4 linked regions of the Drosophila melanogaster genome follow. The protein of the gene in region 3 interacts with the protein of the main gene of each other region in a pairwise test. Each region holds a gene or a part of one and is shown on either strand. Other genes may lie near its edges. The genes, in order: CG9853, Sema2b, CG7546 and CG8620.

What was found.
Region 1: the proteins of CG7546 (region 3) and CG9853 interact in a two-hybrid assay, tested with the Drosophila melanogaster proteins (one large-scale study listed by BioGRID).
Region 2: the proteins of CG7546 (region 3) and Sema2b interact in a two-hybrid assay, tested with the Drosophila melanogaster proteins (one large-scale study listed by BioGRID).
Region 4: the proteins of CG7546 (region 3) and CG8620 interact in a two-hybrid assay, tested with the Drosophila melanogaster proteins (one large-scale study listed by BioGRID).

Annotation. Positions count from the first base shown.
Region 1 is NT_033777.3:4,397,192-4,405,761, reverse strand, and holds CG9853 (uncharacterized protein), read left to right. Parts: upstream 1-3,734; 5' UTR 3,735-3,846; coding exon of another isoform or gene 3,847-4,161; intron 4,162-4,276; coding exon of another isoform or gene 4,277-4,408; intron 4,409-4,623; coding exon of another isoform or gene 4,624-5,184; exon of another isoform or gene 5,185-5,252; intron 5,253-5,571; 5' UTR 5,572-5,868; coding exon 5,869-6,020; intron 6,021-6,081; coding exon 6,082-6,316; intron 6,317-6,376; coding exon 6,377-7,009; 3' UTR 7,010-7,204; downstream 7,205-8,570. Other genes in the region: lost, read right to left, coding at 1-161, 214-282, 343-1,061, 1,123-1,293, 2,482-2,560; CG14647 (uncharacterized protein), read right to left, coding at 3,847-4,161, 4,277-4,408, 4,624-5,184; CG9855 (uncharacterized protein), read left to right, coding at 8,126-8,570.
Region 2 is NT_033778.4:16,383,169-16,390,748, forward strand, and holds the start of Sema2b (semaphorin 2b), read left to right. Parts: upstream 1-3,355; 5' UTR 3,356-3,582; intron 3,583-7,580.
Region 3 is NT_037436.4:7,507,744-7,517,947, reverse strand, and holds CG7546 (uncharacterized protein), read right to left. Parts: upstream 6,963-10,204; 5' UTR 6,572-6,962; coding exon 6,506-6,571; exon of another isoform or gene 6,438-6,505; coding exon 6,320-6,437; exon of another isoform or gene 6,244-6,319; coding exon 6,032-6,243; exon of another isoform or gene 5,979-6,031; coding exon of another isoform or gene 5,976-5,978; coding exon 5,220-5,975; exon of another isoform or gene 5,163-5,219; coding exon 4,556-5,162; intron 4,426-4,555; coding exon 4,327-4,425; intron 4,131-4,326; coding exon 3,594-4,130; intron 3,300-3,593; coding exon 2,367-3,299; intron 2,308-2,366; coding exon 2,171-2,307; intron 2,123-2,170; coding exon 1,898-2,122; intron 1,833-1,897; coding exon 1,482-1,832; 3' UTR 632-1,481; downstream 1-631.
Region 4 is NT_037436.4:7,155,138-7,160,997, forward strand, and holds CG8620 (uncharacterized protein), read left to right. Parts: upstream 1-2,962; 5' UTR 2,963-3,109; coding exon 3,110-3,673; 3' UTR 3,674-3,737; downstream 3,738-5,860.

The sequences.
Region 1 (8,570 bases), on a different chromosome or scaffold from region 3:
TTTAAGTCCTTGACGCGAATATCACGAGACAGATTTGTCAACTTAATGCAAAAATCACTGTTCTTGTTCTTCTTTGAACGACGCTCATCAGTGCCAGCCTCTGGTAACTTACGATCATCAGTTTTAGCACCTGCTTCCACACCAGACTGATCGCCCTCAGACTAAAATTACGTTGATTAGGCTGGCTTCGGCTGTCATATTTAAGCTACTTACCTTAGTTGTACGTCTGCGGCGATTGACGAAACGACCTTTGCGCCGCGGAGTGCGTTTCTGAGCAGTCTCCTAAAAATGCAGAGTTAAAAGTTACTCAATAGTGCCGACAGTGTGGTGGATTCGACTTACGCCCTGCGGCTGTTCGTTGTCAGTCTGCGAAGTGGTGCGACCTGGGTTTCCTCGTTGGATGCGCCGGCGCACAGGCCCACGGCGGCGTCTGTTGTTTTGATGTTGCTCCACATCGGTGTCTTCCTCCTTGAGGGATATGGATTTTCCCGCCTTCTCCTCCCTTTCCTTAAGCTGCTGCAGCACGGGCAATATTTTTAGACGGCGCTCGGACAGCAGCTCCCAGTAAACGCCATTGGGGAAAGACAAGCGCTTTGGCACCCTGATTATTTCTGTGGGTGTTGCAATGATATCAACTGGCGTATCGTACTTCTGGAATAGATTCGGGGGCAGTGAGTCCACCACCTGCATGTCGTGCACGATTGTGACAATAATTGTCTTCGGTGTAATGGCTCCCAGTTCAATAAGGAGGCCGATGTCCAGATCAGCGAAACCATTTCCGCGTCCAATGCGGTAACCCTCGCGTGACACTACAACAGAGCCAATAACCACGATGTCCAGCTTCAGACCGCTGTCCAATCCAATTTCCGAGCGAAACTTTTGAATATCTTGAACGCGCAGAGCCTCCTTTTTCTGCTCCTCGGTGGCATCGGCCAGCACATCTACCTTTAGGCACAGTGCAGAAGATTCGCGGGTGCTGGGCAAGTATACGGACTTGTCGGCCAGCAATGCCAGTTCCTTAAACTCATGCAAGACGCGATCGATGTTCACCTTGATGTGCTCTGCAATACGGGAAAGAGTGATAATTGGTGCACTGAAAACGGGGCTGTGGTACTCCCTTACGTGCTTTCTTGAACTCCTCTTCATTGGCAAACAAGGCAGCAGCCTTATCGGCACCCACGAACGAAGGAATTCGGTTAAATATGTTGTTGAATCCAATGCCAACCTTGCCCTCTTGGATCTTTTTCCAGGTCTGCACGCGCAGCGAGCGCTTTGTGGGCTCTATGGGCTGAGCTGTAACGACATGTTTGTTACAATAATATGCTCCAATAACATAAACAGATGACTAAAAGAAACATATTTTAGTTTATTGCAGCGGTGAGCTCATTTGTATTTGTGTTAGTGATAGCTAGCCTTCATTAAATCAAGCCACATTCCATTCCAGAGCTGATCTGTAGGTATGATAACGTGCGGACCCAAGCGATTCCCCAACTTCTCGGACATGTTAGTTTTTGTTAGGGGAGGTTGACTGTAAAAGTGCGAATCAAATGTGCTGAATAGCAACACAGCCGCTGCCCTTATCGTCTGTAATGAACGCGTGTTATCACGCTAGTTGGCGCTGGACTAAAAGTGATACCGCGGCTGATATACCGGTTTCCACGCCCAGTAATCAGATGTGAAAGTGACCCAAACATACACCAGCAAACGCCGGCCCGTATCATTGAAAACAAAAATCTGCATGCAAAATCGGGACGGCAGGGTTGCCACCTGTGCTGGTTAAAGAACACACGTCAACATGCATGTGTGTGCGCTTGTTGAATTGAAACTGAAGTATGAATTGGCCGCTAAAACTATTTCGGCCGTCTTTCTTGGCGGGTTCAATGAGAAATACAAATTAAGAACCCATATCCCGATATTAACGCATGACCAATAAGTTGGCAACGCTTCGACACGCACACACTCGCACGCACACATTTCTGGGCGATGAGCGCATCGACTCGCGAATTTCTCAATTAATATGTATTCGTATGAGCAGTGCCGCGAGCGTGTAGTGGTGTCGGGCAGCGCGGGGCGCAAGCGAGCGGGTGAATTGACACTGCGAGCACAGAATCTCGAAATCGAAATCGGCCAAGAGCACCGAAAATGATTCATTTCACTTTTTGTAATTGTGGGAAGAATGCGCGCAAAGATGACGTAATTAGTGTCAACAACAAGCAACTTCGGCGTTTCGGCAACTCTTATTTACAGCTAGGGTCTCCTAGAAATAAATATGGCGGAATTCGACAATCTTCCGCTTCTACACTGGCACCTAGAAAATGGCTGAATCGGGCACCTGCCCCTCTGGAACATGGGTATTCACTTTGGATGCCCAGCGAGCAAGGCGCGGCGCGGCGCAAAACATTTATGGAATCACCAGCACTCGCGAGAATTACACGCAATTTTCGTCGGCGAGCGGGCGGGGTAGTAGGGCAGGCCACTTACTTGTCGAAGACACCTCCTGCGCGGTGTTTCCGCCGTTCTCCGCGGCGACAGCGGGGGCTGCGTTGCTTTGGTCCTCCATCGAATCGCTCGCCAATTGTGTTTTAGTTCTGCTCACAATTTTTTACCGGCTCAGGCTACGGCTACACAGTTCACAGTTCACAAGCAACGTCTACCGTTCTCCGCTGGCTTCCAACAAACCACGTTTGAAAATTGACGTTTCTCTGGTGACGTAAAAAAACATCGCCGATGCGATACATCGATACATTTCGTATAGAGTTGCTTGCGATGGTTCTAGCTAAAAATATAATAAAAGTTATACATCTGAGCTTATACACGCCACCGACAATATACATTAGATCTACATGCAAGTCCATCATCTTTTTTCGCTTCAATTGTTATATATTATTTTAATAAACATCGAGTACCACCCAGATAGTTCGGTAAAATTGTAAGCTGTGATCACTGCGAATAAGGTATTAAAAACTAAAAATAGATAAATTTTATATTATTTTCTTTATTTATGTTTCTTGTAGATAAAGGAATCGAAGGATAAACTATAATTAACACAGGCTCCTGCCCCGGCTTAGGATTTTCTAAATGTAACTCTTCTGCAAGGTCCCTAAGGAATGTTTTATATAAAAATATAAAAGAATCTTTAGTGATGCGACTAAGACTATGTAATAAACAAAAAAAACAAGATGGAATGCTATAGTCGAAATCCCCGACTATCAGATACCCGTTACTCAGCTAGTGTGAATGCGAACGCGAAATTTCATTAAAAAAAACAAGAGGGAACGCTATAGTCAAGTTCCCCGACTATCAGATACCCGTTACTCAGCCAGTGGGAATGCGTTTTTAGGGCGTTAGAATGGGTGTGGTAAAAAGTTTCTTGGCAAATCGATAGAAAATTTCAAGACTAATTAAATTATGAAACAATATCAACACATTTTTTAAAAGTGTGGGCGTCACAGTTTTGTGCGGTTTGTGGGCATTAGAATGGGCATGGCAGCATGGGTCAACAAACGTGAGCCGCGTCTCTAAAATCTGTATGCTTAATCCCAACCTCTAGATTTTATAGTTCCTGAGATCACGACGTTTATACGGACAGACGGATAGACTCGGCTATTGATCCGGATTATATATAATATATATCCCTTATATAGTCGGAAACGCTGCTATCTGCCTGTTACATACTTTTCTAGTACGAATCTAGTATACTTTTTTACTCTACGAGTAAGGAATAAGAATAATACACACGACTTTAGAAATTCAATCCTAATACTGTTTATTTTATAACCTACTATTAAACTTTTAAGTATGTACAGTCAATAACAGTAATATTAGTGATAGGTGCCAACCAAGATATCATCGTATGGCCTGTGACATGTGCAATGGGGTCACCATTAGGGTAAGCTCCGCGTCCTTTAAATTTGCCCCACGCAAATTTGCCTCCTGCAAGTCGCTGCCAGAAAGATTGCATTTTTCCAAGTCGGCACCTGCTAACACCGCAGCTCGCAAATTACAGTTCTTCATATTGGCGTTCTTCAAATTTGCCACACGTAAGTTAACACCGGCCATGTTGCTGCTTTCCAAACATGCTCCTTTGAGGTTAACACCCTCTAGATTAGTTCGAACTCCTGTTGGGTCTTCAAAATTACACCCACGCAAGTTTGCACCTTCCTGAAAGATTAGGCAGATTAGTTTTCTTAGCTAATTGGATGGCGTAAATCTGTTACAACTAGTTTCACAAATGATGTGATTATTTAATAGCGTTTTCTGTTAAACCTGTGCTTACCATATTGGCGCAAAGTCCCCGCACTGACACTAGTTGGGCACATTCCAAGTTTGCGTACTGAAGATCCGCCCGTTCAAGACAGCAGTAGTTAAGATTGGTGTGGGACAAATTGCAGTGAGACATGTTGGCATACTGTGAAGGAAAAGGGATAGTCTTTAGTATAATTATTGTCTTCAACTTGATAGATCTCCACCAATAATTTTCCATTTTTTTCCGGACGAAAATATCTCCTTTACTGCGTAGCAAACTACAATAATATTAAAATGCAGTCGTGTTACGGCGTTGGAAAGACTTAAAATGTTGTATTACACAATGTATGCATTGAAATGAAATTCGTTTGCGCACACCTTGAAGTTAATGTTGCGAAAATCTAGCTTTCGTAGATCGGCCCCAGACAGATTAACGCCTTGAAAGCGCAGCTCCGTTATCACGGAGGTCTGAATGATGGCCTTGATGACGTCGTTGCGCGTCAATGGTCTGTCCCCCAGCGGCGTCTCCTGCTGTCCCAGGCGTTCCTCCAAATGGGTGACAAGCGAAAAGATTCCGAAGAACCGCGCCTCCTCCAAAACACCCAACACACTGATGTTCGAATCGCATACGAATTGTCCGTGGCGGAGGTAGTTGATGATCGGCTCGAAATATCGAGGACTTCGATCAATCAGGTATGCTCCCTGCTCGTCACGCTCGCTGGGCTTCATGCTGCCATTTTGCAGGAACATCCTAGCAAGCATTGAATCCGGTTCTCTGCCCACCAGAGTGTCGATGGTAGTGGCGTAGATTTGTCCACCCACGTTCAGTTTGACCCAACGATTGGGAGCGAATCCGCTAGCGGCGACGAAATCGCCGGCTGCCGGTGCGGCGTCGTCTTTTCTGGCTCCGGAACCACTCTCCTTCAGATCACTATTCATTTGATTGGGAAGTTTAAAAAATTTCCACAATGCCTGGCAATTCTCAGCTGCTTTATCTTCCCGTTCTTCCCCCGTCATTCCATTAAAGTCGTCGATTAGGGCTGTTCACACGAGGCCGCAACAGCAGCAGCGTTACATTTAATAGTTGTGTGAATTATGAGATATTGGTGAATTTAGCTAATAATTTAAATTAATAATTTAACGAAGAGAAGAAATAGCTCAAATAAACAATTATCAGAAAACTGGATATGTCTTATCTTATTACTGTCCATTAGCTACAAAACATATTATTATTTGAAATTTAATATTCATATAACGATGATTTAATATTCATATAAGATGGTATAAAATAACAAGCGAATTGAATTATGAAGAACCAATTTTCAGATGTGAAAATAAAAATATTTGTGGACATTGGACATTGCAAGCAGAAAACTATTAAAACCATAAAAGGTGTTTTACGAATGCATTTTAAATTACCAATTGATTGGTTAGAAGTGTAAACCCTCAATTTTTGTTTTGACATTGGGCGCCTGTGCAAAGAGTGTTATAGTTGGCAATCGACACCGATAGTTTGTCATCGGGAAGCTGGTATATGTAAATACAAAATAAATTATAAAAATTGGCTTCCACATAATTGAGAAGGTCGCTGAAAGCGTACGAATAAACCCCGCAAATAACCAAATGTCTGCCGCCGAGACAGGTCCAATAGCCAGCGGCAGTGCGGTGTCCACTGGACAGCGCGGTGTCAGCCGAGTACTTGCCAAGTTGTCCCAGTCTCTGGCAGGAGGAGAATTCTATGAAGCGCACATGATGTATAGGACGCTGTATTTTCGGTAGACTATTTGTATAATCCGTGCAAGGAAATGCAATCCAATAAGAAATTCGATTCCTTAGGTATACGGCGCAGAAACGCTATCAGGACTGCCTGGAACTGCTCTTTGATGGAGCACAGCAGCTTATTGCCAAGGAACAGGAAAGCAGCGCCGCGGACCTATGTCTCCTTCTGGTGGACACGTTAGAGAAGCGAGGACCACAGGCGGAAGATACCGACAACTTCCTGTGGGTTCCACGCCTAGGGGCTTTGATCCGCGGCCTTAACTCCGCGACTGTAGAGCGCGAAACCCTTATTGTGAGTCTTTGACATTATTAAACGCGACTTATACCGGCAATGAAATTTTTTTTCCTTTAGCAACGGACCATTAAGTGGAGCACGGCCTTGCATGGCCAGTATGGCCACCCAGTGCTCCATAAGTTAATTGCGCACGTGTTTTGGACCGAGGGCAACATTGAGTCGGCTCGTCACCACTATCTACTCTGCCAGGATGGCAGCCTATGTGGGCGAGTGCTAATTGAAATCAGCCAGAGCAGGGGCTTCCAGGGCGAGATGGACTTGTTTCTGGTACAAGCTGTGCTGCAGCAGCTATCCCTTAAGGATCGGAAAACTGCAGAGGACACGTTCACTGAGTACACACGCTACCACGCCAAGCTGCTTAAGCATGAGTTCCCCTATAAGGAACCGCTGGTCAACTTCTTGTACTTCCTATTCCGTCTTATTGACGCGAAGCGTGTGGCTGGGTTTCGGGCCTTACGCAAGCTTTACGATCCATCCCTAAAGCGCGACACGTCTTTTCTAAAGTACGTAGCCAAGATTGGGGTGCTGTATTTCGACGAGCATCCGGAGGCTGCTCATTCTGGCCCGCCCGGGTTGGGCGGAATGTTTGGTGACATATTCAATCGCCTTATGGCGGGCTTTGAGGAAGATGATGCGGACGATCATGACACGACCCTGAGGCGGCAAAACGAGAATAACGAACTGGAATAGCATGTATGCATTAATGAAGCATACCGAAGAGGGATCCTTTGTTGCTGGTCTTTTTGGTTGCTCAAAGTCAATGAAGTTCTTTGCCACAAAATCATCGGGCTATTTTGTTATAACTTTAAATTGCTGTATGCTAAATAATTTTAAATAAGCGTATGGTCTTGATTATGCAAATTATAAAAAAATAGTTATTCAAACAAAAATCACTATGACAAGTTCTCAAAAATCTTGTTTTGGGAATATCTTTTGAACTGGTAATTGGATTTTTGTGCTTTTGTAGTGCTTGCCTCCTACGCACAATATCCGGGTGCGCTTCGTCACAACGTGAAAATACATCGCGATACATCCCATAGTCGACATTTCGAGGATGCAATTAAAATGGGAAAAAATTGTAAAGAAAAATTAATTAATTGAAATATTTGAAAAGTTTTATAATTTTATAACATTTGTATTTCCAAAAATAAATAACCAGCATCGAAAGTCGACATTGAATATGCGGGATCAACCCGGCTTGTAACATAAAAGCAGAATCCCTTATTTAGGTGTAGTATAATTTGTTCTCATTTCCCTCCGTTTTTGTGTTATTCTGTATTGGCGGAAGAATTCAGAAAAGTTGTTTTTCCAAATTTAAATTATGTATATTTTAAGTCAGTAGTGGACTAGGTAGTAGAATTCGAATACGTGTGAATATTTCGTAAGTAGGTCAATCGTTTTTAAAAATTATACAATGTATCTAACTTGTCCTTCTGGAATCGACGGCTTAAAAATAATACGACGAAATCCCAAAAAAATATTTATGTTGCGATATAAGTGTGACCAGCACAAGGGTAAGTTAGCGTCGACCTGGAAAATACAATCTGAGATCTGGTCCGTCCGAAAAATCATTGAAAGTGCCCTGGTAGAATAAATCAGATTGGGTTTATTTAGTTAGTTTTATTTTCGTTGAACCACCCAAAATAAGAGTAAAGTTGAGAAACGCTCAGAATTAAAGCCACAACCTTTAACCGAAAAGGCCAATCACCGCACAACAAAGCCGAGTGAGAGCAAAGTAAGCAGGACCTTAAGGTTGGGCCTCTGTGCATCGATAAACATAGGACATTGTGTTATACTTTCAGCGAAATGGCCGACAAAGCTGCAGCGCCCTCTGTGGACTGTGCGGCGCCATCTGTGGACTGTGCGACGCCTGCAATACCAGCCGTGGAGGATCACACCACGCTGACCGTTCCACCTGCTTCAGCGAACAAAGCCACGGACGCTTCCACTTCCACTGCCGTCCAAGTGGCCGTCGATGGGGGGGAGCCGGAACGCTGCTGCTGGATCTGCTTCGCCACCGATGAGGACAACCGTCTGGCGGCGTGGGTGAAGCCCTGTCAGTGCCGCGGCACCACCAAGTGGGTGCACCAGAGCTGCCTCTACCGCTGGATCGATGAAAAAACCCAGAAGGGTAACGCTCTACGCACTGTATCGTGTCCGCAGTGCCAAACGGAGTACATCATAGTGTTCCCGCAGATGGGCAAGCTTGGAGGTGCTTTAGAGGCAATAGATAACCTCATCAAGCGCCTGA
Region 2 (7,580 bases), on a different chromosome or scaffold from region 3:
AATGATGCTGAGCAATGCTTGAGTATTCATTAGTTACTAGATTCGATGAAAAGTATTTACCAGGTAGAAGGATGAGTTTCCGGCCATGTAAAGTATGTATCTTCTTGATCAATTTCAATATTCCAGTCGAACTGTCCAGGAGAATTCGACCACAGCGTTCTCTCTTGTTATATATATTCACTTGGTGTTTTGCAGAAGTGCGACCACGCCCACGCGCAAAAAACAATATGAATTTTCCCACAAAAAGAAAAAGAAGGAAATGAAACCCAGACGGAAAATCAAGGGAGCCCGAGTTATTCCAAACGGCGGACCAGGAACAATCAGCTAGACTTAACTAATAAATTCCCGTGAATTCCGCACGCAGTGGAGTCGAAGCGGAAATCATTTAAGCTGCCAAATCAGCCGGCCAGATGGTCCAAACAAAAGGCCAGGGAGCCTGTAGAGAAAAGTGCCCCCAAACGGAATGGGAGCTGCAAAAAGAAAGCGATTAATATTCATTCAGTGTCGCGCGTATATCACTTTTTATTTGCACAGGGTCGTAGTTTTCTGGGCGAAAGGTAACCCTGCAGCGGTGGGCGTGGTAGGGGAAGGAATGCCAGAGCAGGCGCCGCCAAGTATGCATGGGAATTCGGCGCACGCAGCGGCAGGTGAGCTCGTGTGGCTGCTCCACTTGTTGTTGTGTTAATGCGAATGAGCATGAGTGTGTGTGCCAACGCACAATTACATACAACAATTTGTGCTTTGTTTGGCCGCGTGTGTGTGTGCATGTGCGTGTGTGCGTTGGCAGGGAATCCAAATCACCAAAGAGCAATCGTGGAGCAGCAACATGGCCAGCGGAATCAAGATGGAGGTGGATACTGTAAATGCACTCGAAGAAATCACAAGGAATTCAAGGCAAAATGTACAAAAATTACTTCGCACCTAGGAACTCGGATATCAATATGATATATTTCAGTAATAATGAACTACTCAACACTCTTTTTTTTCGCAAACAACACTAATACTTATTTTTCCAGTGCCCAGCGAATCCGAGTTGGCCTGCGGAAATCCAGTTGGCTTTGTGCCGCTGACACCTCCCACCGGAGGCCCCCTTCCCCTCTCCCCGTGGCCCCACTCAAATTGGAAGCCCAAATATGAAGTCGAAAAGTGTGTGTTGTATGTGTTTAAAAGGGTTTGGCTAGGGATGGATGATACTATTGAGGGGCGGCTCTATCGTTCCTCCGGCGCTTAGTTTTCAATGTGAAAATTGAGAAAAATTGCCAAACGAGTTGGTAAGCGATATTCTCGCCTGCTCCGCCTGCCGTTTGGTCCGATGCCAGGTGATGCAGTTGGGCCATTGTTAGCCCAAAACCCACCTTGGCCCAAACCGACTCCATCTTTGCCAGCCGTAGTTGTCTGCCTCTCCACTCACTTATTGTTAGTTTCGCTCGCTTTGTTTTGACAACTTCTGGAGGAATGCTCTGTGAACTGAACGCTTCGTCAAATAAAAACGAGAATTTTTGGCTTCAGTTTACTTCCGTTTGCTTTGACTGCCTGCTATGCCATCACTTGGCCACCCTGGCAATTGGAGACCCAAGAAGCTGCTGGCAGCCATAAAATTACGATCCAGCAGAGAGCAAATGACGCGAAACAGTCGCACGGACATGGCCAAGAGCCTCTGAGCCAAAAGGGGCTGGGGCAGCAACAACACGTTCCTTGCATAAAAATCGTGCAGGCCATGCTAAAAACGTTTATCCCTTTTAGCCCCAAGTTCGGCTCTGGAGGAGTCCTGCCAGCTCCCGCAGAACAATGGCGGCGAAACACTGAGAAAAATAAATACAAATCCTTATTCTTATTAGACCGTAAAGGAAAGTTGAATTACAAAATCAAAGTAAGTTATTGTAGGATATTTGTTGTTTCAAAAGAACTTGCTTACAAGGTATAGATATATTTTGTTATGTTTTGCAGTGCCTCGGATTTTTTCCTGTGCACTGAAAGAACAATTTCTTCGTCTTTAGTTTCAATGGCCCCCACGACGGACCGAAAACCATTTTAAATGGAACGTAAGCCGAGACTGATGGCCAGCAGTGGAATACGAGGAGTTGAAGCAGGAGTGGGAGTGGCGGGCAGATAAATGCCGCATCATTGGTTATTTATATGCGTGCGGATCTCAGGTGGATGGCCCTGGACTCAAACGATATATTTATTTGATTTTATTGATATACAAGCGGGCGTAAGTAGTGCATATCCATCTCGGCCAACGAGTGGCTTAAGTCCTGGCCTGGCCTGGCCTGTCCCTGTCATTACGACGGAACGATACGGAACGGAGACCAGTTTCAGGTGAATGTCGGCATGGGAAATTAATTAAATCGCATTCAAATGATTGGCTACGTGCCATTATTAATTCGAGCATAAATTATTCCACATGCCCTAATTCCAAATGATTTTACTATCCCCTTCGTCGCCGCCACCTCCGCACAATCTGTGGTCAATCACTTGATTGGCCGCTCAACGAATGGATCTGAAAGTTTAATGCAACACGTATTGGCACTTCCAATTTATGGCAATTAAGTGAAAGTTCTATAATCGCCAAAGAAGGTGTTGGAGAAAGGACTCTTGCAGCTGACCACATCAATTACTAACCTGGGCTAATTGAGATTGTGCGGCAGTTGTCATTTTTCCTTGTGGATTTGCAATTTGGATTTTGACTCGAAATTGTCCGTGTACATGAAATGCGTTTTAAGCACAACGTTCGTAATATATATATATTTCAAATAAAAACTGCTAAGAAAAAATTAAACTTTTAAATTCAATGTTTTAGTTCCAATTCCTAAAATTTGATTTAAATCAATACTTGAAGTATTAGGGTAGATAAAGAAGTTCTTAACACTTTACAAACATAGAAACAATAGTAAATTAAATAAAGTCTAAAACATCAGATAACATTATTTTGAAATAAATTAAAATTTAACATTATAAAATACACAAAAAGAGAACATAAAGAAAATTTGTATACGATTTTCATTAGATTTTTGTACATAAAGTACATAAAAATATATATTATTACAAATGAATTCATCTTGAAACCAAAAATTTTTCAGGGACAATGTTAACATTTTTTAGACTGTTCCCACAGTGCAAGTCTGTAGGCTCAACAGCAAAACAAACTGTTAAAAATGCCGGTAGGTGCTGAGAAGTGTTCCCAGTAACAGTTGACACGGCATTGCCAGCTCGAAACTCGTTTTCGACGAACTTCAGCGACTGCCAAACGAATGAGAGCGAAGCCGAATTCCCCCAAAAAGCCGAAGTTACGAAGATACGAGTGTGTGTGGTGCGAAAACTTCGGCGGCGGCGAAGCAACAACGACGGATTGTTCAGTTTGTCTTGAAATCGCGACTCGAACGGTCATCGTGTGCGGATGTTAAGCGGGAAAGTGGGAAATCGGAAAAGCGCAGTCAGAAACCGAAACCCAGCTAAAGAAAACTCGTGCAACTCGCTAGCAGTGCCCACGCAACAAACAAGAATAATAAATGCGAAATATATATGAAAAACACAGGTTTCAGTTTCAGTGACAAGTGTGCAACATAACTCAGCAGCAGTGAGGTGAATATACAAATCTCGATCCCCAAACGACTGTGCAACGCTCTCCAATCCCCGAATCCAATCAGAATCCCACCTGAGCTGAGCGCTACCTGCCAAGCGTGTTTCACTTTGCATTACCCGCGCTGACCAGTTGATCCCAACTTGTTTGCAACCCGTTCTCTTTCGTGCCTCTGACTGCAGAAAAGAGTGCGGATGGCGGAGTGCGGAGTGCAGCGTGAGGAAGACAAAGGAGTTATTTTTGGCCATCAGTTTGCCATTTGCATTTGTGCAGCCAGCCAAGTTGGCCCATTCAGCACATAAATTGCGAATGCAAACGGCCAAATTGTTATTGCCACTTAGAACAGCTCTAAGCGCAATTCTCTCGCCTTTTTTTTTCGTTCCGAGCAAAGTGTGCAATATCTTGGCCGTAACAGTAGCCACCTGGTCGCAACTTGCAGCAAGCGATTTGCGATTTGCGACTCGCGGCTAACAAAAAAAAAAGAAAAAATTGAGAAAAAACGCCACCAAGACACAAAAGCTGGTTGAAAAAAGTGCTGGCGATTGCATCGCATGTCGAGGTTGTTTCGCATGCCCTTGCCCCTCCGCCCCCTCCGTGACCCACCATGCCCCGTTTGCCACGCCTCTGCATACCCCCCTTCGGTTGCCCAAGAGCCATGCAACAATGCGAACAGAAAGAACTTCAAAAGCACTCCGACCCTCCGTCTGTTTTTTGGTGATTATGAGCGCAGAACTGCAGCATAGGGTCAAGAAAAAGTGCAGCCAAGTCGCCAGTTGGATGCTCTAACTTTTTAAAACCAAAATATCTGGAAATACTACAAAAAAATCGTTATGTTCAGCTTTTCAAAAGTATATTTCATTCTATTTGGTTGTCACTGTTGTTCTTTATGTTTTTATATATTTAATATATTTTAATATGATAGGTAAAGTTGTATTTATATACAGACAATTTACTAAGTATTCGGCACGGGGTCATTAAAAAACTTACAGACTTATTTTCATAATATTTTAGTGTCTCAATTAAACATTCAGCACTCTTTTTTTTATTTATTTTGTAATTGCATATAAAGTGGCGCTTTTTTAAAGAGTGTGATACGATCCAAATTTTTTTAATTCCTCGCTTAAAACAGGGGCATTAATTATTTCACAAAGGGATGAAAAACGCGATGGAATTTCTGCCGCAGTCAGTTAGGGTATTAAATGCAGGGGGCAAAAAAAGCGTTTCAGCTCGTTTCGCGGCGTACAATGGAACCTGAGAAGATTGGCCAGAGCCGAAAAAAGTGGCCAAAGAACCTGGCCAAAAAGAAGAAAGTGGCTCGTTGGCCAAAGAAGTGAGCGGGGCAGGCGGCAGGCTCAAAGCATTTAAGCGCCTTTGACACTCAGCTGGTGGCACAAAAGGGGGGCATGGTCTTCTGGATTAGGGGATTGGGGGTCATGTGAGACAGCTGCCAATCAATGGCAGACTAGGCCCATCACTTTGTGGCCATTTTGCCTCGTGTGGCATGTTGCATGTGTGTTACAATCGAAAAATAAACGTATAAATAAAACAAGAGCGACGAGAAAATCGAAAAAGGAAAATAGAAGAGGAAAACCGTTTTCAGAAATCGCTTCGAACTTCCCATTTTGGGCCAGGCAATGAGGAAATTATGCGCTAATGGCAGCCAAAGTTCAATTTCATAAATAGTTAACTTCAAAGTTGGTTACATTCTCCGAGGAAAAGTCAGTAAATTACACACACCCGTGTGTACACACACTCAATTGCCGCATAGAGAGAGACATTTTCAGCTTATTAAATGGAATTAAGCAATTTCTGCGTTATTACCATGAATATTTGAAATCGGGGGCAAATACCAAAGCCAGGGGATTAGTTATTTCCGACTTTACTTGCGCACTTTTATTCTTATTGATTCTTAGGCGGCAAATTAATGTTTTCATTGCGTTTTCCGTGCTCAGCCGCCTGTCCAACGGAAGTGTCGTGTGGCCCAATCAAACAAATACTCATACTCCGTAAAAAAAACGTGGCCGAGAAAAAGGAGCCACACAAAGCAACCAAATTACGCCTAATGGTTTTTTAATTGTAACAATAATTGCCGTCGCCATTGCATGAACAGCAGCAGCAGCAGCAGCAATCAGAGCCCTTAAGAAGGGTGAAAATGGCCGAAGGGGTAGGCATCTGACCCTCCTATTAATGAAAGCTCTTGGAAATCATTTAGATGCCTGCAAATTGCCAGGCTCTCATACAGTATGGAAAAATGTTTTCATGTAAAGAAAATGGGTATTTATGCGATATAAATTGGCAGAATAATCAGAAATATGCATAGAAGTTATTTATAATTCTTTCACGTTCTTAAACTAACATCTTATCATGATTTCTGATAGATTGAAACATATAAAATAGTTAAATGTCTTACTGATTTCTATTTCAAGACTGTTTTTAGGCACATTTCTTTAAATACTGAAAAAACAATAATCAACCGTCTTCAATGCCCTAAAATTACTGATATTGCTTAAATACCATAAACTTAAAAGATACATAGATACTTGTGATTTTCGAATCTAAAGAGTTTTGCCACAGACTGAGACTTTGTAAAGCCCTGACATTTTAAGTAATCAATTATAGGTATTTACGCATCCTACAGAAAGTGCATTATTTCATATTTATCAATTGAAATTAAAGATTTTTTTCTTTCTGTGCATTACAACGAATTGGAGGCTCATGTTTCTGCTGCGCCCGACTGTTGCTGCTGTGCAGAAGGCAGCATAATTGTTCGCTTCATGTTTGCGACTGAGTGTGCTCGTGTGCGTGTCTATAATTAAGGCCAAAAAGGCGAAATGGTAAAAAAAAGTGCTGGCCTAAGCTATGCCGACGACTAAACAAAAGCCAGCAATGAGACGCTGAACCTTGAACTTGCTGCCGTTGATGTGGATGGTGCTGCTGAACTCGGCTGCTATTTGGGTTTGTTTGATTCTATTCATTGTTCACTCGCCGGCAGTTGATTATGAGTGTATTTTTTTGTTTTTTGTTTCGTGTTTCTATTTGCTATTTGCTGGCTGTTTTTGCGAGCTGGCTTGTTGCTCTTTTGCTCTTTGGTCGTTTTTGGTTAGCCAACATAGCCTGAAATGGCCAAGCGTAGCATACTTTTGTGCGCCGAGGGTCTCTAATGTGCGCCATTTTGGTTTTATGCGGGGTCGGTGCCAGTGTGTGTGTGTGTGAGTGTGCGAGTGCGAGTGTGAGTGTGCGTGTTGGCCCATTTGCCCAGAGGTCATTATAGACGCTTCCTTGGTCCGCTCGGCACGTTGTGGCCGCCAACTTCCGCTCTTGTTGCTCTTGATGTTGCTGTTGGGGCATCTGCAAGTGTTGCTGATGTTGCTGTTACTGTTGGTGTTGCCACTTTGAGCCTTTTGGCTTTTGGCCGGGTCCAGCTCTCTAAAGTGGCAATTTGTCTAGTTCTGTAAGCGCCTCTTTTAACGATAATGATGATTGCGCATTGTTGCGTTTTTATTTCAGTGCACAACCTGTTCACACGCACACACACACACAGACAAATCCACTTGGAGTTATGCCTTTTTTTCTGTGCTTGTGTGTGTGTGTGTCTGTTTGCTTAGCATTTTCCGATTTTCATTCATAGCCGCACCGTTTCCCGTTTCATCCTTTTTCGCCCGTGTTCTTTCATTCGGGACTTTTATTATTTTCATTGCCATTTCTTATTCCATTTGGCCGTCTGTCAGTTGTCTGTCTTTTGGTTTATGCCTTTTGCTTTCTCTCACTTTTCCCATTTTTTTTCCACATTTTACCCCCCCTCTTTTTGGCCAAAACGTGTCGTCGCCGTTGTTAATTTTTAGTGTAGGACGAATGTTCGCATTTGCTTTATTGGCCATGGCCGAAATGCAATACCGTCTAGACGCCGCGTTTGTCCAGCGAGAGGCTTGTCGGGGGGCTAGGCCAACAGCCCGAACCAATCGTTTGATGTTCCTATTTGTTTTGGCCGAACTATTTTGAT
Region 3 (10,204 bases):
TGCAGACTGCAAGCTCCCGAGGAACCTTGGCACGATTATGTTATGTTTAGGGCCGTCGGAGAGATTAACTTAATTACATACAGCCGGGCTCACTCATTTAGAGGGATTTAAAAAATTAAATCTTATGACCGGCTTTTATTCGATCAATCCAATAATGTTTCAATTAATAATATTCCTCTCGTAATTGAACTACTTCCTGTTTTAGATCTGTTAATAAATGGGATAAACTCTTCTTTTATGAACATATTTTCCGAATTCCACAGTTTTTCCTATCAAATAATGTCCATATCTCTGGAAGGTTTTTTTAAATAAACTGTTTATAGTTTTCAAATTGTCATGATTCTTATGAATATATCTAACATAAATTTATTAGAACGCACGCAGAATAATTTTCTAAGAATTGCAGATAGTTATTTAAATTATGATCTAAACTGGCAGCTTGGAATAAACTAAAATGTTAAACTCTTTAGCACAGCAACTGCCGAGCTTAGCAGATGCCAATTGTGGTGTTACAGTGCTGAACCGCACTGTAATCAATAACTGTAGGTACGAAAATATACCTCGATTACGTAGCCAATCTATTTTTGGCGCCCAATCATCTCGAGTAAATATTTAAAGAAAAGCGGCAAATATTTATAATTATTATTTATTCATATGTTTTCTTTTCTTTACGGCTTCTTGGTATTTCTTTTTGTTTTTATTTTATTTTTTTTGCACATAAATATTCTCAACATTTTTATGTGACACATTTTCGTGTTTCGATTGCAGGCGACAACAATAACAAGAGTAGCGTAGGCTTCGGACTTCGATGACGATGAAATGGGATGGTGCGGGTTGCTGGTACGATGGGATGGTGTGGATATGCCTCCGGTAATGCTTCTGCTGAAGGCTTATCCACTTGAATAGATCTGCACATTCCGGATTGGTCGTCATCGGCCGTCCAGCAATCATGTGCCATCGGCTCACGTCAATGGCGATTTGGCGCCGGCCAAAATACTTGGCTGGAATTCGGAATTTGGCTGTCGTCACGGGTCTACGGGTCTGTTCTGATTTTGCAGCACGTCATCCGACGCGGGGACGCCACCGCCATTTGGGACAATTGAAAGCATTCCGCTCGGTGTGTGGTCTAATATCCAAGTCCATTTAATCCAATTCCAATCGCCATTGTTTCGGTTAATATGTGTGTTTATTTTGCTCATTCATGCACCGCAAAAATTGTTTTTGATTGGGCTCTGTTGCGTCTTGACCCATTGTGTGTGTGTATCTCTGTGTGTGTGTGGATAAATATCAGTTGGATATTATTATTCTAAATAGTTTGAAGCATTTGCTAAGGGTCCACTCCGTGTGTTGGTGTTGTCGCAATCTTCGTCGTCTTCTCGATTTAAACAGAACTTAACCATTAACTAAATTAAATACAATTTATTAAAGTAAAATGTACAAGAAGCATTAGGTGGCCAGGCTTCCGTCTCCGTATCTGCCCCCTACTTTTGCTCGGTGAACTTGGCAATCTGCGGATACTTGCTGGTCTTAAAATCCACATCCCGCTCGGTACGCTCTTTTAAACTATTGCGCACCGCATCCGTGTAGGCGGCCTGAATGGTGGAGTCGTGAGCAATGGATCCGATTACGGTATCCATACTGATCGACGCGTTTAAGGCGCTACCACCATTGCTTCCACCCAAGCCGACGCTCTGGATAGCCCTCTGCACTCCATTAGCAATGAGACACTCCACGCTGGCAGTCGGCTTTTCCGACTGAATTATCTTGCGGCGCTTGGCGGACATGCCCGAGATGTAGGCATCCGAGAAGGGCGGCTGGGGACGATTACTCTGCTGCAGGATACATAGATTGAGACATAGTTTAGTGTAATTCCAGAAAGTTGTACGGAATAACCTACCTCTGCCTGGGTCTGTAGGTCGCGCGTTATCACAGGCAACCAATCATTGGGGAAACTCATGTGCCAAGGCTCTGAGCCCACAATCACAGCTGGTAGCTCGTCTGCCGGTGAACTGTTGCTGCCGCTGGCGGTCACTTCGGACATCTCAACATCCGTGTCCAGAGTTTGCTCTTGCAGCTGCTGCTGTTGTGGGTTGAAAGCAAAAGGAGGCGGCGCCACAAATGGCTATTAGTGCATAAGTTTCTGGGCATGGAAAATAGTTTGGAAACCTACCTCGTCGGCAGCTGTTGGAGGAGCTGCTTGAATGCTGCGCAAGACCAGGAACTGTTGGGCATCCACTGTGTCAGTTTGGGCGGGAATCGTGGGGTCTATGTAGATGCACAAAAACTGCAGGGCTTCGTTGCGGAAGTCTGCAAAAGAAATATTGAGTTAACCAGTATACTTACGATCACTTTTGGTGTCAACTTACTGGATCGCATCGGTGCGCAAAGGAGGCGCATTAGCTGGCGCCAATAGAGCTCCGCATTCGCGCTTCCAAGGCACAGGAAGAGAACGCTGTATAGCCGCTTGCGGAATTGGTCACAAATCTGTTTGAGACTTTGCTCGAATTGAGCACTATCTACACCGGCCGGAGCTCCATTACAAAGCTCGATGATCAAACGGAGGCTGACACGCAGGATGTTGCACACAGAGTCGCGCGAGTTGTACTCCGGACGCTCGTACTGCGGCAGGTAGACCAGGCTCTCCCCGAACCAGTCTAGTGCGCGACCAATGGCCCCCGGAATAGTCTGCTCGTTGATGGGTACTCCGACAAACAGGCTGTCGTTGAGGAAGGTGCGCAGTTGCGAACGCAGGTTGTTCGAGTCTCCGCGAGGAGTGGGTGTGGATGTCGGCAAAACAGTTTGTAGCGGAGCAGCTGGCGTGGTTGAAGCAATTGGGGCAGCTTCTCCTGATGGTGAGGCGGCCGTATCTCCGACGGCGGCAACTGCACTGCCTACCGAAGCTGTTGGCGCATTATTTCTCATATTATTAATCAAAAAATTAGCGAGTTGGGTGGGTAAATGTCTGGACAGGCGACTGGTGGCGGCCTGTAGTCGCCCCCTTCGGCCAGAGGGCAAGCCTCCGTTGGTGCTGCCACCGCCAACGTGGGCCGTTCGAGTCGCCAGCCGATCACGATTGATGGTCGATCCTCCAACGGGCCGCACTCTCCCGGCTCCGACTCCGGCCCCATTGGTACTGCCAGCACCAACGTGGGCACTTGGTATATGAGTTGTTTGGGTCTGCGCCTGCGCCCAGGCTGCCGGTCCCAGGTTGCTTAGTTGCTCGCTGGCTGGTCGCTGGCGACGCGACGACCACATTGGGCGGATTGTGTTACTGCCGCGTTGGATGCGACCAGTGGTGACTAAATGATGATATGGATAAAATGGAAATTAATGTCAGAGATGGAGGCCAGTCGGAGGTCGAGATAGCAAATAAATAGTTCTTTAGTATAGTTAACTATTAAATTTTGTAAAAATTTTAAAATCGTATAGCATTTAAAGATTTATCGCGCCCTGATCCGACAGGTTTTTGATACACTTGGCTTTCCATCTCCGGTTGGTGAGTGTGCAAATGAAATGGATTGGTGGATTGGCGAAATGGATCGTGGACATAAGGTAGTGTTTGCTAGATTTCCCCGGATGGGAGCCGTACTCACCAGGACGAGTTACTGCAGCAGATGTGGGCGGAACAACGGTGGCTCCTCCTGCTGGTGCTGTCGAGGTGCTGCGACTGGTACTGTTGTTTTGGAGCAGCTGCTCTGGTTCCCGAATGTGATGACTATTGCAAGGCAGAAAGCGGTCGAATGCCGTGTGTGTCGGAGCAATGCGTCCGCCCCAGTTGTTGTTTCCGCCAATCTGAATCTGTGGTCTTGATGTCGAGCGCGTTTGGGTGGCCGTGGTGGGCAAGGTATTGGCCCTCTGATCGCCACTGCGTGTTCCACTTGATGTTGAAGCTGCATTTGGAGACTCTCCATTGCCCGACGCAGGCGCACTTTCAGGGGAGGAGGATTCGGACGCAGACTGATCTGCTGTTTCGTTCGATCCAGCTGCCGGAGCCTGTCGCACGGTCGTCATCACATGCACGGGCAAGTTAATCGACATGACGTTGGGGGCATTGAATTCCACATGGATATCGTTCGGTCGTTGACCATTGACCATTGCCTGAATAATTCGGGCCATTTCCAATTGGGGATCTGTAAAGCAGCAGTAACAGCTCTTTGAAGCGTTCAGTATAGCAAGGGTTAATTTGTTTAGGGCCGGGTCAGTAAAAGAATCAAACTAGCAAAGTGAAAGTGAAACCAAAGTAGGGATGCAGTGAGTGAGCAGCTAAGATTATGGTTAGTCTGCCATGACTGAGGCGTTGGATTCAACCGAACAATCAAAACATACTGGGCGGTGGCAAAGTCACTGGCACATAGACACGCAGCCTAGGCACTGGTCGGGTTTCTCGTTCGGGAGTTTCACTTTGAGCTTGATCGTGGTCGTGATCTAGAATATTTTCAACAAATAATACGGGAATATTTACGATTCAGAGACACGAATTCCTTGTCTAAGGCCATGAGTGAATTTGATTTTGCACAGCCTCATCTGCATACAGTGTTTGTATAAAGTTTCTTACCCATTTCGAGACGCTGTTGCTCTTGTGCTAGTGTTTCAGCACCTGCAGCATTTGGCCCCACCATAGGCTCGTCGATGGGATCCTCTACTTGATCACTGGATAAATCGCGAGCGGCGGCGGCAGCCGCATTCGCAGCTCCAGCAGCCGCACTGGCAGCTCCGGCAGCCATTTCCGCAGCGGCTCCAGCAGCTCGACTGGCGATCTCCGCCATGGCCGCTGCACTGCGACTGGCATCGGTGGCCGCCTGCAAATTGGCAGCCTGCGAAGGTGCCACAGCAGTTGGAGTGCCCGCGCTGGTGGGCGTTTGAGTGCCCGCTGTGGTGGCCGTTTGAGTGCCAGCTGCAGAGGCAGAACCAGGTGCTCTATTGCGGAAAGGCTCGTTGATAATACCCGAGGGCGGTGCCAAAAAGTTGGGCGTGAAGATGTTATTGGAGCGTATGTAACCGCTCTGCTCAACGAGAATGGGTCGGCAGGTGAGCACACGTGGCCCTGGCTGCGACAGGTCAAGCATTAAATCGGATATAGCGTGCTGGGCGTGCGAAAGGTAGTGGAAAGCCTCCGAGACGCGATCGAAGATGCGCTGTGCGTTCTCGCGACCATCGGTGTCCTAAAAAAGGAATTTAATGTTTTAATAGGCTTATAAGAGCTCGGCTTATTAACTTACACTCTCCTCAAAAGTGGGATCATTCTGGAGAATCTCATAGTACCGATCAACAAAAGGCGCCAAGCGAGCCTGTACGCCACGATAGTGCTGAATAACTTGGGCCAACACCTGAGGACGAGTGCGTCGCCTGGGTCCTGAGTTGTTGCCGCCTTCGGCAGCCGCGTCATTTGCTGATCCAACCGAGGATGTGGGAGTCTCTGCTGCAGTGACTTGCTGGCCACCAACTGCTCCTTCCGCCTCCGGCTCTGGTGTTGGCGTGACCGAACGATCTGATGCTCCATCGGCCACTTCGTCGTCCGTTTCGATAACATCCTCGATAATCACAGTAGCAGCTGTGGTTTCACCACTAGCATTACTTGCAGCTCCACTGGCTGCTCCCTCACTTGTTATAGCTTCGGCTGTTCTCTGCTGGCTCGTCTCGCCATTCTCATTGGTATAAACCGTGGGCAGCTGAACCACCGTATAGTTGCGTGCTCCTGTATGCGAAAGAGCAGCGGTCACGGCATCTTGGACCATATCGATGATGTTATTGTTGCGTGGCAGATCAGTCGAGGAGACACCTACTTCCACGACTGTGGACTCCATCGACCAGCGACCGCGCTGCAGAATGTCCAGTGATTGATTGTTCAGGCCAACGGCAGGATTTTCCAGATAAGCTGCTATATTGTCAGCGCAATCGATCATGTGCAGGGCGACCGTGATGCGGTTAATGCAGAAGGACGACGAGTTGGGATAACGATTCGGTGGAGGACGTGTCTGCTAAGATACGTTTAAATACGCGTGTTGAAAGAGCTTTCATCTTAATGGCTTACCCCAGCTACTGGACCATTGTTCACCGGTATGGCCATGGTGCCCACCAGCATTCCATCGAGGGCGCGGAAGTACGGAGAAGTACGCATTCCGGGCGGCGGCGGACGTGCCACATTGCGGAAGGTTCGCATGGGTTCATCATTGTTGCGGGCATTGGCTCCGCGCTGCGAGAATGGTGGTCGTTCGGCCACATGGAGCACCTTGCCATCCACATCTGCATGGGCATTGATATTGTTGTATTAGATATAAGTGCATATATATATGTGGGTGCTCCCGGGGGCATGACTCACCATATTCCTTCACCTGCTTATCATCGACCAGAACGCGACCCTGGTAGATGATACGCTGGTTTTCCGCCGCAATGTTAGTCTTCTCGGCTATTTGGTCCTTGAACTGGCGGATGGTGAGCTGGAAATGGGTGGGGTGCATGGATATAAAGAAGCCCCTAGACCTGGACACACAACCTCAAACATTACCTCATTGTCGATGCTGAATTCGTGGATGCGCGCATCTAAGGTCTTCACCTTAAGGTTTATGAGCATTTTCCGGCCGGACTGCGTCGCAAATCAATTGAAAATCTCGTTTTTCTTTCGGTTTTCCCCGTGCCGTGCAAAAAAACAGTCGAAAAGGGTTCGTTGGTGGAGGGGGGAAGGCGGGGAATCTTGTCGGTGTCGCTGTCACCTGCTCTCTCGCTCGCACTCGCTGTCGTTGGCCTTTGGCTTTTCCGGACACGTTTTCGCACTGCTCAACTAGCGGTAAATATGTATACGTTTTCACTGATCTCCGCCTGCTTTCGGATCGGGCAAATATATGCTGGGCTTCTATGCTAACGCGCCGAGCGACTTTGCAATTCAACAACAGCAGTGGACGAGAATAATTACTGGAATTTGACAGTGTGGCAGTGTTGCCAACTCTCGGAGTGAAAGAGCAGCCAAATGCCATCTTGTAAAAAGCTAAACTAGCAGGTATTGATAAATAAATTCCGTTTTAAAGCAAAAATTAAGCGATCTGTCAAAAATGATATGTATTGTATGGAGCAGTTGAAAATTATTTTATTGAGTTTGGTAACGATTACAAAAATTGGAATATGCAGATAAATAACCTTTTTTCTGAAGCTTAAAATATATTATAACAAAAATATATTATAACAACTTGTCTTAAGATTAAAATATAATATATTATATTAATTTGTCTGAAGTTTAAAATATAATAGCTGCATATGTCTACAAAATAGATAAGTTGCCAGCTCAGCATATAGTACACAAAATGTCCTAAAATACCCAAATTATTATTTCAGTGGCAAACACAAAGAAGAATACAGCACTGTTAGCATTGACTCAAACCAGAGTGCACGAATTTTTTTCTTGTCTGGCAGCCCTAAAAACCACTTAGGCGGTTCTTTTGAATTTGTACTAAATATATTAATCTGTTTTATTTATATTGTTTTTGAACATTCTTTGCTATCCTAACCTAACCGAAAGGTATAATATCTCCAGGGAATTGCCTAGACTCTTGCCCACAATGTAAAGCGTGTGGGGCATGAGCGAGATGAGCGCTATAAAAACGTTTAAAGAACTGCACATGTGAAATACAATTCACCCATCAACCTTTTCGCCCCTAACCCCACACCAACCCTTAATCACCCCACCGCCTTTGACTGCATCCTGTGGGAATTTTTGGGCACTGCACATGAAAAGCGGCGTTTGAATAATAAAGAAAAGAAAACACGGAAAACAGGGGAAAGTCAGCCAAGACGCAAAGGTGTAGGGCAACTTTTCGCTTTGAATATTTAAGTGGCGCTGTGGCATCGGTAGTGGAAGTAAAATAAGCAGAAGGCTGCGAAGGAAAGCCAACCGCAGCTAACACAATTTTTCGCATACCCCTTGCCGGAATTGTGCGGAAATTTGATTTAATGTCTGCGATTGTGAGCCTTTCCACGGGCTCAAAGTGATTGCGACGAGCCCTTATTTTCCGGACTGAAAAGATGCCACGGAAATGGGCAGTGGCAGATTGCCGAGTGCACCATTCTCTTTGAGGATTTTTTTTTTTTTTAACTGAGTTTTTAGCAAGCAATTGAATGATTAATTACAGTATTTTCAAAAAAATACCTTGCTTAAAGTTTGTAGATTTTTTTTTTAATAATAAAAGATGTTTTTGTAAGCTTGTTGTCAGGATATATGCTATGTTTAAATGTTTGATTCCCAATTAAGCATTTTGAGAAAATTGATGTACAAATTACAAACAGTTAATTGTATTAAAATGCTCAGCCTACATTTCGCTTACAATATGGATTATGCTTGGCGTGAAAGTATAAATAATAATTATTAACGTTTTTCACCGACTTTGCGCGGTCCAAGTGCAAGTTTTACAATTTACAAATTGCTTTTAAATGGGCTGTGAAAAGTTTTAATGAGTTTTCCACGCAGCCGTCCTTCATCTAAGCGCCCAGTACATTCCGCCCACCGCCTTGTCAACGATTTCTGTTTATGCATTTTCATTTTCATTATCATTCCCTTTTTTTCGACCAGCACTGCCCTCTCGTTTTCCGCTTTCCATTTGTTATTAAGCTAACGCTTTCCGTTACTTTTTATTACTTTTTTGCACCAAAAGTTTTTCCTGTCACAGTGGGTGGGCGTGGCACTACATTGAAAGTGTTTTTTTTTTTTTGTTGTTGTGGGCGGGGGCAAAGGTCGCCTTATGAAATTATATCAATCGGGCAGATTGATAAGTCGCTGCTCTTGGCAGCTGGTAAATGACATTTGCTTTTTCCAATTGTTCATATTTTCATTAAGCAACATTTGAATTTTCCCGAATGTAACCTGTAATCGCTTCACTTCAGAATCAGAATTAGAAATGTATTCAAGTACGAGTTTCCGCATTGCATGGCTACATTTCTAATTTCGGTCTGGTCAAGAACAGGGCCCCAGAGCAAGTCTCACGTCAAATTAAATCAAGCTGTAATATAAAGAAAATTGAAGCCAAGTCCCCTTTGTGCCATAAACTACGGATGGCCAAGGAGCATGCGGTGTGGGGGAAAATGAGACTGGCCTTGGTGTGCGAGTGGGTGGGGTGGTTTCCGCAGCTGATTGGCAATATAACACCAAGGAACCTTAGCATTCATGGCGGAATTTAACCCGTGTGCCAGTAGTTCAGATTCAACAGAGTTTTGTGGTTAATATTTTATTTCTCTCGTAATTTATAATATAGAAATTTGTTCAAACAAGTGCTTATCAAAATATGTACCTAAATATCACCAATGTACTGAAGAAATTTATGTTTATTACAAATATACACATTAAATCTTTAAACAAATGAACAACCACTTGTAATTGCCAGTATATAAATTCGACCTGCTAAATGGCAACTGCACTGGCCTCATAAATACAAGCGCCAACTAACCGTGCCAATTTATGGTCAACACTTAATCTAAGCTGTCAATGTGGATGCAACACCAGCGGTAAGAACTACAAAACTTGGCCAACAGAGGAGTGTGTGTAGTGGGTGACTAGTGGCTAGTATCGTAATTGGCGGGGATTACGACAAAACGTAAAAGTGCAGAACGGCATGTGAATGCGGAAGTCGAACTCGCAATTGGCCAAAGTGAAGAAGTCGTAAAGTTTTAGTTGCATTCTGCCGTCTTCGCCTCCGAATTGGACGCTTAATTTATGTTTCAATTCCAATTAGCCAGCGAGGCGCGGGCTTTTATGTTACTATTCCTTCTTTTCGCTTTCGAGTGCACAGAGAAAAATTTCCTTTTTGGTATTAGGTTAAGTGCTAAAATAAATTCGTATCATGAATTAAATACTCTAGTGTTTTAAATGGCTACTTATACATATGGTTTGGTGCTTAATGTAGGTTTTTCTTTATTGAGCAGTATAATGGCGTACTTTTTATTGCTCCCACTTTCAAGCAGCAGACTTATTGAAATTTTTTTTTTTAATTTCAAAAAAATCTACGTACTATTTCATTCATCCAAAATAGGTTAGAGGGAAGATCATTTCCCACCGTGCTCCCTGGTAATTGACTTTCGGCCTGGCCCTGACGCGTCATTTGTAATTGTATATCAGCACGAGGAGCGACGAGAATGGCGGCGTTTATTAGCCATGGCCAAATGCAGCTAATTGAAGTTCAAATTGCGTTGGCGCATGAGTTGAAATGGCAAAGGAAACCGTTGA
Region 4 (5,860 bases), 350 kb from region 3:
TGACTGAGTGACGGACTGACATTAAATTGCACTCTTCCTGATTGCTTCGTCGCTTCAAAATCGATTATCGCCGAAGTCATGCAACTGAAATTATATTCACCGCTTGCCACATCCATATATGTATGTACATATGTACATACGTATATACGCTTTTACATACAAAGTTAACGCTGCATAATGAAGCGGACTACGTGGCTAGGATACAAAATCCGGAAGCCCCTCAGTCCGGCGGTCCTGACCTTTTTAATTTCAGCTAAAAACCAAAGCCGCACGACGCCAACACACCTCTGACCCACCACAACCACCCTCTCGCCCACACGACGATGTGGCTTCAACATAAGACGCAGCTCATATTCGATAACCACTTTCTACCCGCCAATGAGTTACAGTGGAGATTGGGTAAGCTTAACTTTTATCCTGATACAAAAAACAAAATATTTGCTTAAATTTGGCTTGTTACATAAGCAAAACTTTCATTTTCTTCGTAAAGAAAATTAATTGTACTTAAATGCTATGGAAAAACTATAAAATTTTACACGTAAGAGCCATTTGCCTTTCCCCCATATCCCACATCCATTATAAAAAAATATAAAAAGGACATTAAGATTTGTTAATCGATTTCAATTTAAAACTGACATTAACAAACAAAAAAACGATGTATCAGTTGGTATTAGTAAACTTTCTAAGACCAAGTGAAGGCAATTTCTAATCAGTTTGTGCTCAAAGCGATATTCTCTGCAATTTAACTTAGAACTCGCAGAATGTTCTACTTAGTGGCGTTCCACTGTAGCTACTCACCCACGGAGCTGGAGTTGAAGGAGGAAAACTGTGCCAGCGGTTGAGGAGGTTGAGGCTGCTGCTGGAGTTTCGTTCGTTGATTCGCTCGTTTGCTGTTTTGTTTGTTTGTTTGTCGGATTGTTGCTGTCTTTGTCGCTCAGTTGTTGTTCCTTTGGTGGGCGACGATGGAAATGTCAGAGGGTCGCGGTATTGGTATTACGGCCTCCCAGGGCATTCTCTTTTCGCTTGAGTTTTGATTTTTTTTTTTGCTTTGCCTGATAATTCTATTATTGCTCTCGCTCTCTTGGGGGGGAGTGCAAAATAATGGATGGCAATTCGCGGACGGAAATTTGCGAATTTAGCGCGTCGCTTCAATTTTGTGCAAATTGAATGCACAAACACTGAGAAGTGGAGAGAAATTACTAACTTCGGCGTTCTCCCTGTCTCCCACACACACACATACACGTGCACGCGCGAAATTTCGTGACAGCTGCAGCTGGAGAAGAAGAAGAGCATGAATGATCGCTCAAGGACTCGGTATCGTCCTGCCGTTTCCTCTCTCTCTTTCTCTCTCTGGTTCACTTCCTTTTGTTGTTCCGTTTACCTAACACAACGGCTTATTTGTATTGTCAGGACCAACTCACACACACGCACATACACGTACACTAGCGCACTGCAGCTGAGCCCAAAGGAAAAATCGATGATGAATCTGCGAATTAAAAGTCTATAGCCGCACATCGATTAATCTGCAGCTGAAGCGAGTCGCTTTAATTTAGTTTTTCAGCCTTGTTTTTGCTGCTTACGAGGAAAAAGACAGCAAGGCTTCGTTGAAAAACCCGTTCGGCGCGCAGGAAAGTCGGAAAAACGAAAATCGTATAGCGGCTTGGTAACAAAACGCGCCCACTCGCGGAAAACAACAAGTTTAAATATTAATTAAATCGATTTATATTTACTAAATCATAATATACATCGCTATTACTTCATGTAGGCGAGCAGAAGCACACTCCACGTCGAATTTATTGTTCGTTTGCTTAAAAAATCAGTTTCAATTGCCGCAACTCCGTTGGCATTAAAGTTATAACGATGTTTCTTTAATAATATTTTTTAATGGTAACCGAAAAAACAGCGCGCGCTGCTGCGCTCTCCCGAAAAATTACAGAGAGAATGCGTTGCGAGCTGCTTATATAGATTTTTAAAATATCAGAGAAACCAAATGATGGTAATGTAAAAATACCAAAGCCGGGAAATCGCGTTTTAACAGTCTGTTAACAGTCTGGCGTATCACACTGTTAATTCTCTTCAGCGGTTAAATGTATCTATTGGATGCGCCAAATATATCTTATCCATATTAACAGCTATTTTGATTAAGAAAACTTAGACTCGTTTAGTTTTATTTAAAATTTTTTAATAGTTTTGAATTATTATACCTTTTGTCGATTTTTAAATATAAGTAAACGTAAGGAATGATTTTAACCGCTTGTGGTTAAGACTGCATATTTTGGCGGGCACAATTCAAAAGCAATCATGAAAATACCACAATAAAAATACTAGTCTCAAGCGGTAATGTCTTATACGTAGTCTTATACCTTAAAATTAAATAGCAGTTCTGTAAAATATTTAACCGTTTAGTATTTCTAAAATAATGTGCTAAACCTGATTTATGCAATTATTAAGATCCCAAAACATTTTCAAAAAATTGTGTAAATTTCTTAATACTTTATATTCTTAAAATTTTCGATGATTTAAAACGATAAAATAATTGTTTTAAAATTACACACTTGGACGAAATTCAAAATTAAAATTATATCAAAATAATGTCATATTTCACAAAATCGTAAAAAATAATAAAAGGTATGCTTATAAAAATACGCAGAATATTTATAATGCATATAATATGCAGAAATACAAAAGTAAGAAGAATTTCGCAAAAATATGAAATATGTTTGAGGTTACGTTCGGCAATGAAATTATGTAACATTAAAAACACGTGATCAATGGAAGTAATTTCCCAAAAACCCATGAATGCGATTTGGTTAAAAATAGCTCAGATGACGTCACATTTATCGTGTGGTTTGTATGAGTATGTGACTGATAAAGAAAGGCAAATGTTTACAGTCCGAAAGTCGCGATTAGCTTGGCGCCAAAGTTGCCTATAAAAGCTCATCGACCGAATGCCGCAGAAGCCAGTCAAATTCAAGTGTTCAAGTGAAGCAGTCGAAACATAAGCAACAGATTCCGCAGCAGTTATATCCAGTTCAGAGAAACAGTAGTTAATCAGTAATTAAAGTGTTGAGTGAATTTCTTATCGGGTCAGTTGTAAACTAGTGCAAAAATGTCGCAATCCGATAACGTGGCACGTGAGCAAACTGCGGCAAATGCAGGGCCGGATGCATGTCAAGGATGCCGCGGCCAATTGCCAAATGCCACGCCCGTGGAAGTCGAGGACATGGCCTTGCCGTCGATGGAGCGTCTCATTCGAAAGGCCAACATGGCCCAGAAAATGCTGAACGATGTGATGAAACAGATCCAGAAGCAGCAGCAGCAGGAATCTCAACTCTCCATCAAGGAGACCAAGTCCAAGCACCGCAGCTCCGATGGAGGTAAACGACGACACAGAGGACGCAAACATCATAGTCATAGTCATCACACTAGCTCATCTTCCAGTTCCAGTTCCGACCACAGTGACTGCGAGCTGATCCTGGCGGAGAAGGAGGGGCACATGCCGCGGAGAAGACACACGCGAGATGACCGCAAGCGGGATCGTTCCCGGTCTCGCGGTCGCTCCCGTGGTCACTCGCGTGGTCGTTCTCATGGGCGTTCTCGTTCCAGGTCCTACACCGATTCCCGACGATCTCGAGCACTACCCCTGGCTCTGCCCGTTCGGATTTCAGTGTGAGTATCTGGCTTCATTCAGTATTATTCAATATTCATTTTATATATTAAGTGCGCATAAAAAAACCAAAAAAAAAAAAATAATAAAATATATAAAATATGAAAAAAATATTCAAATGAATTCTTTTTAATGGAGGGTGGGCTTATCTTTATTTTGGGTGCAAATAATACATACTGTTCAGGTATTCAAGATAATAAGTTACATTCGTTGATGAAATGCTGATTTAATTTAGCATTCATATTTACCAAAGTTGTGAAATATTTGAACCATTTTTCTGAGAAAATAAAGTTCAAAGTTTTGGAACTGTAAAAAGAAGTTTTTATCTTACCTCCATCAGCCGATTAACAAATAAACAATCGTTTGTTATTTTTAAATATTTCTTATATTTTTTAAATGCCGTTTGTTTTTACATTAATAGTTTTTATTTTGTAGTTGTTGTGCTAATTATATGTTAAACATAAAAATTGTTTCTCCCTCTCGTATAATTACTCGGTTTGTTCTCGTTTTGATTGTGATCTATTAAGTTAATTTCATCTTTTGATTTGTAGACTTTGCTGTGAGTTTGCTCCTTGCAGTCGCAACTTTTCTGTTGTTCTTAATAAATTCGTAAAATTCGATGTTAAATGTAATAAACCATTTCATTGCTTCGTACAAATAAATGCATATAAAAACCGACTAAAATCGCGTTAATCGCTATATAAACAAAGAGTGCTGCTGGCTCGTAAATTTTCGATTTTGTTTTTTGCTTTTATTTCAAATGAGACACTAAAGAATTATGCTGTCTGGCTCGGGTTGGAATAAATTTTACCCAAGTGAACACCTTAATCTGCGACTTTATTTTGTGATTTCTGTGGCTCTAATTGGTATGTTCATATTTAGTGGCTGCTATTTACTCGCTTTTCATGGCTTGCATTATTTATTGTATATCCGTAATTTAAGAGAGCTTTGTCTAAAAACAAATTTTGGCACATGGTTTCCGAAATGGGTTCAATTCGTCCCTCTGATCCTCCTTCTAATCCTCATCGATTTTATTTGACTGTTTAATTGGTTTCCTTATGCTTTTTTAGGCTAGTTAAAATACAGCTATGTACTCGTATTACTTTTGGATTATTCGATACGAACTAAGAGTTATATTAATTTGTAGTTTGTTTGTCTGCTCCTAACTTGGCTTTCGTTCCATTCGCGTCTGCTTGATTGAGTTTTTATGATAATTCGAAATTTAATTACGACTGGTATTTGATTCTCCTACAGGCTCATTCAATTTACTTTCATTAATTCGTTTTTAAAAACATTTATCTACAACTCGACGAATGACAGTTTATTGTAATGGAAACACTAATGTATGCGATATCATGTCAGATTATCTATGAATACTGCTTTCTTGAATTCAAATTCAGCTGGCGACATATTCGAGTTTGTGTACATCGGCTATATCGAATACATTTAGTTAACATTTTCATTGTGGCTTTACTTGTCTTTTGTTTTTTTTTTTTTTTCTATGTGAGTCATGCAACATTGTCAGTCCTTTGAGGGTTTTACTTTTTTGATTATTTACAGCATTTGCTCAATACTCTACATGTACGTGGATTCGCTAACAACTAAATGAGTATTCTTCGATTGTATATCTCGGTATATATCCTATATACATAGATGAGCACACGACTGCCTCATAACGTAGACACGCACACGGGGACATACATCAATATACATTCATATAAATTTGTACACAGCATATATGTATATCTGAGTTTTCGGCTTAGTTGAAAATTTCAAGATTAAATTCCTCGTTTCATCGCCCTGGTGTACCCACAAAACCGAAACTTATAGAACTACTTTAGGAGTAGCTTTTCATAGGCCAAACACTCAATGCTATTCGAGACTTCCACATCTAGAAGAAGTTCGTTCTTTCTACATACGATGAAAAACAGTTCGATTCGAATCGATTCGATACGATAGTTTGCGATAGTTTTGCAGTTAGTAGTTTGAGTTACAGTTTCGAGTGATATACGCATTAGTCGTTACGGATACTTAATAGACTACGTTAGTATATATATGTACATACAACATTTCTGGAAGTTCGACAACTGACCTGGGTTCTTTTTGGACACATGCCATATTCATACATACGTGGGTATATAGCATGCACAATCGTTAATACTTAGATATAGTATGACCTCTATAAATACGGGC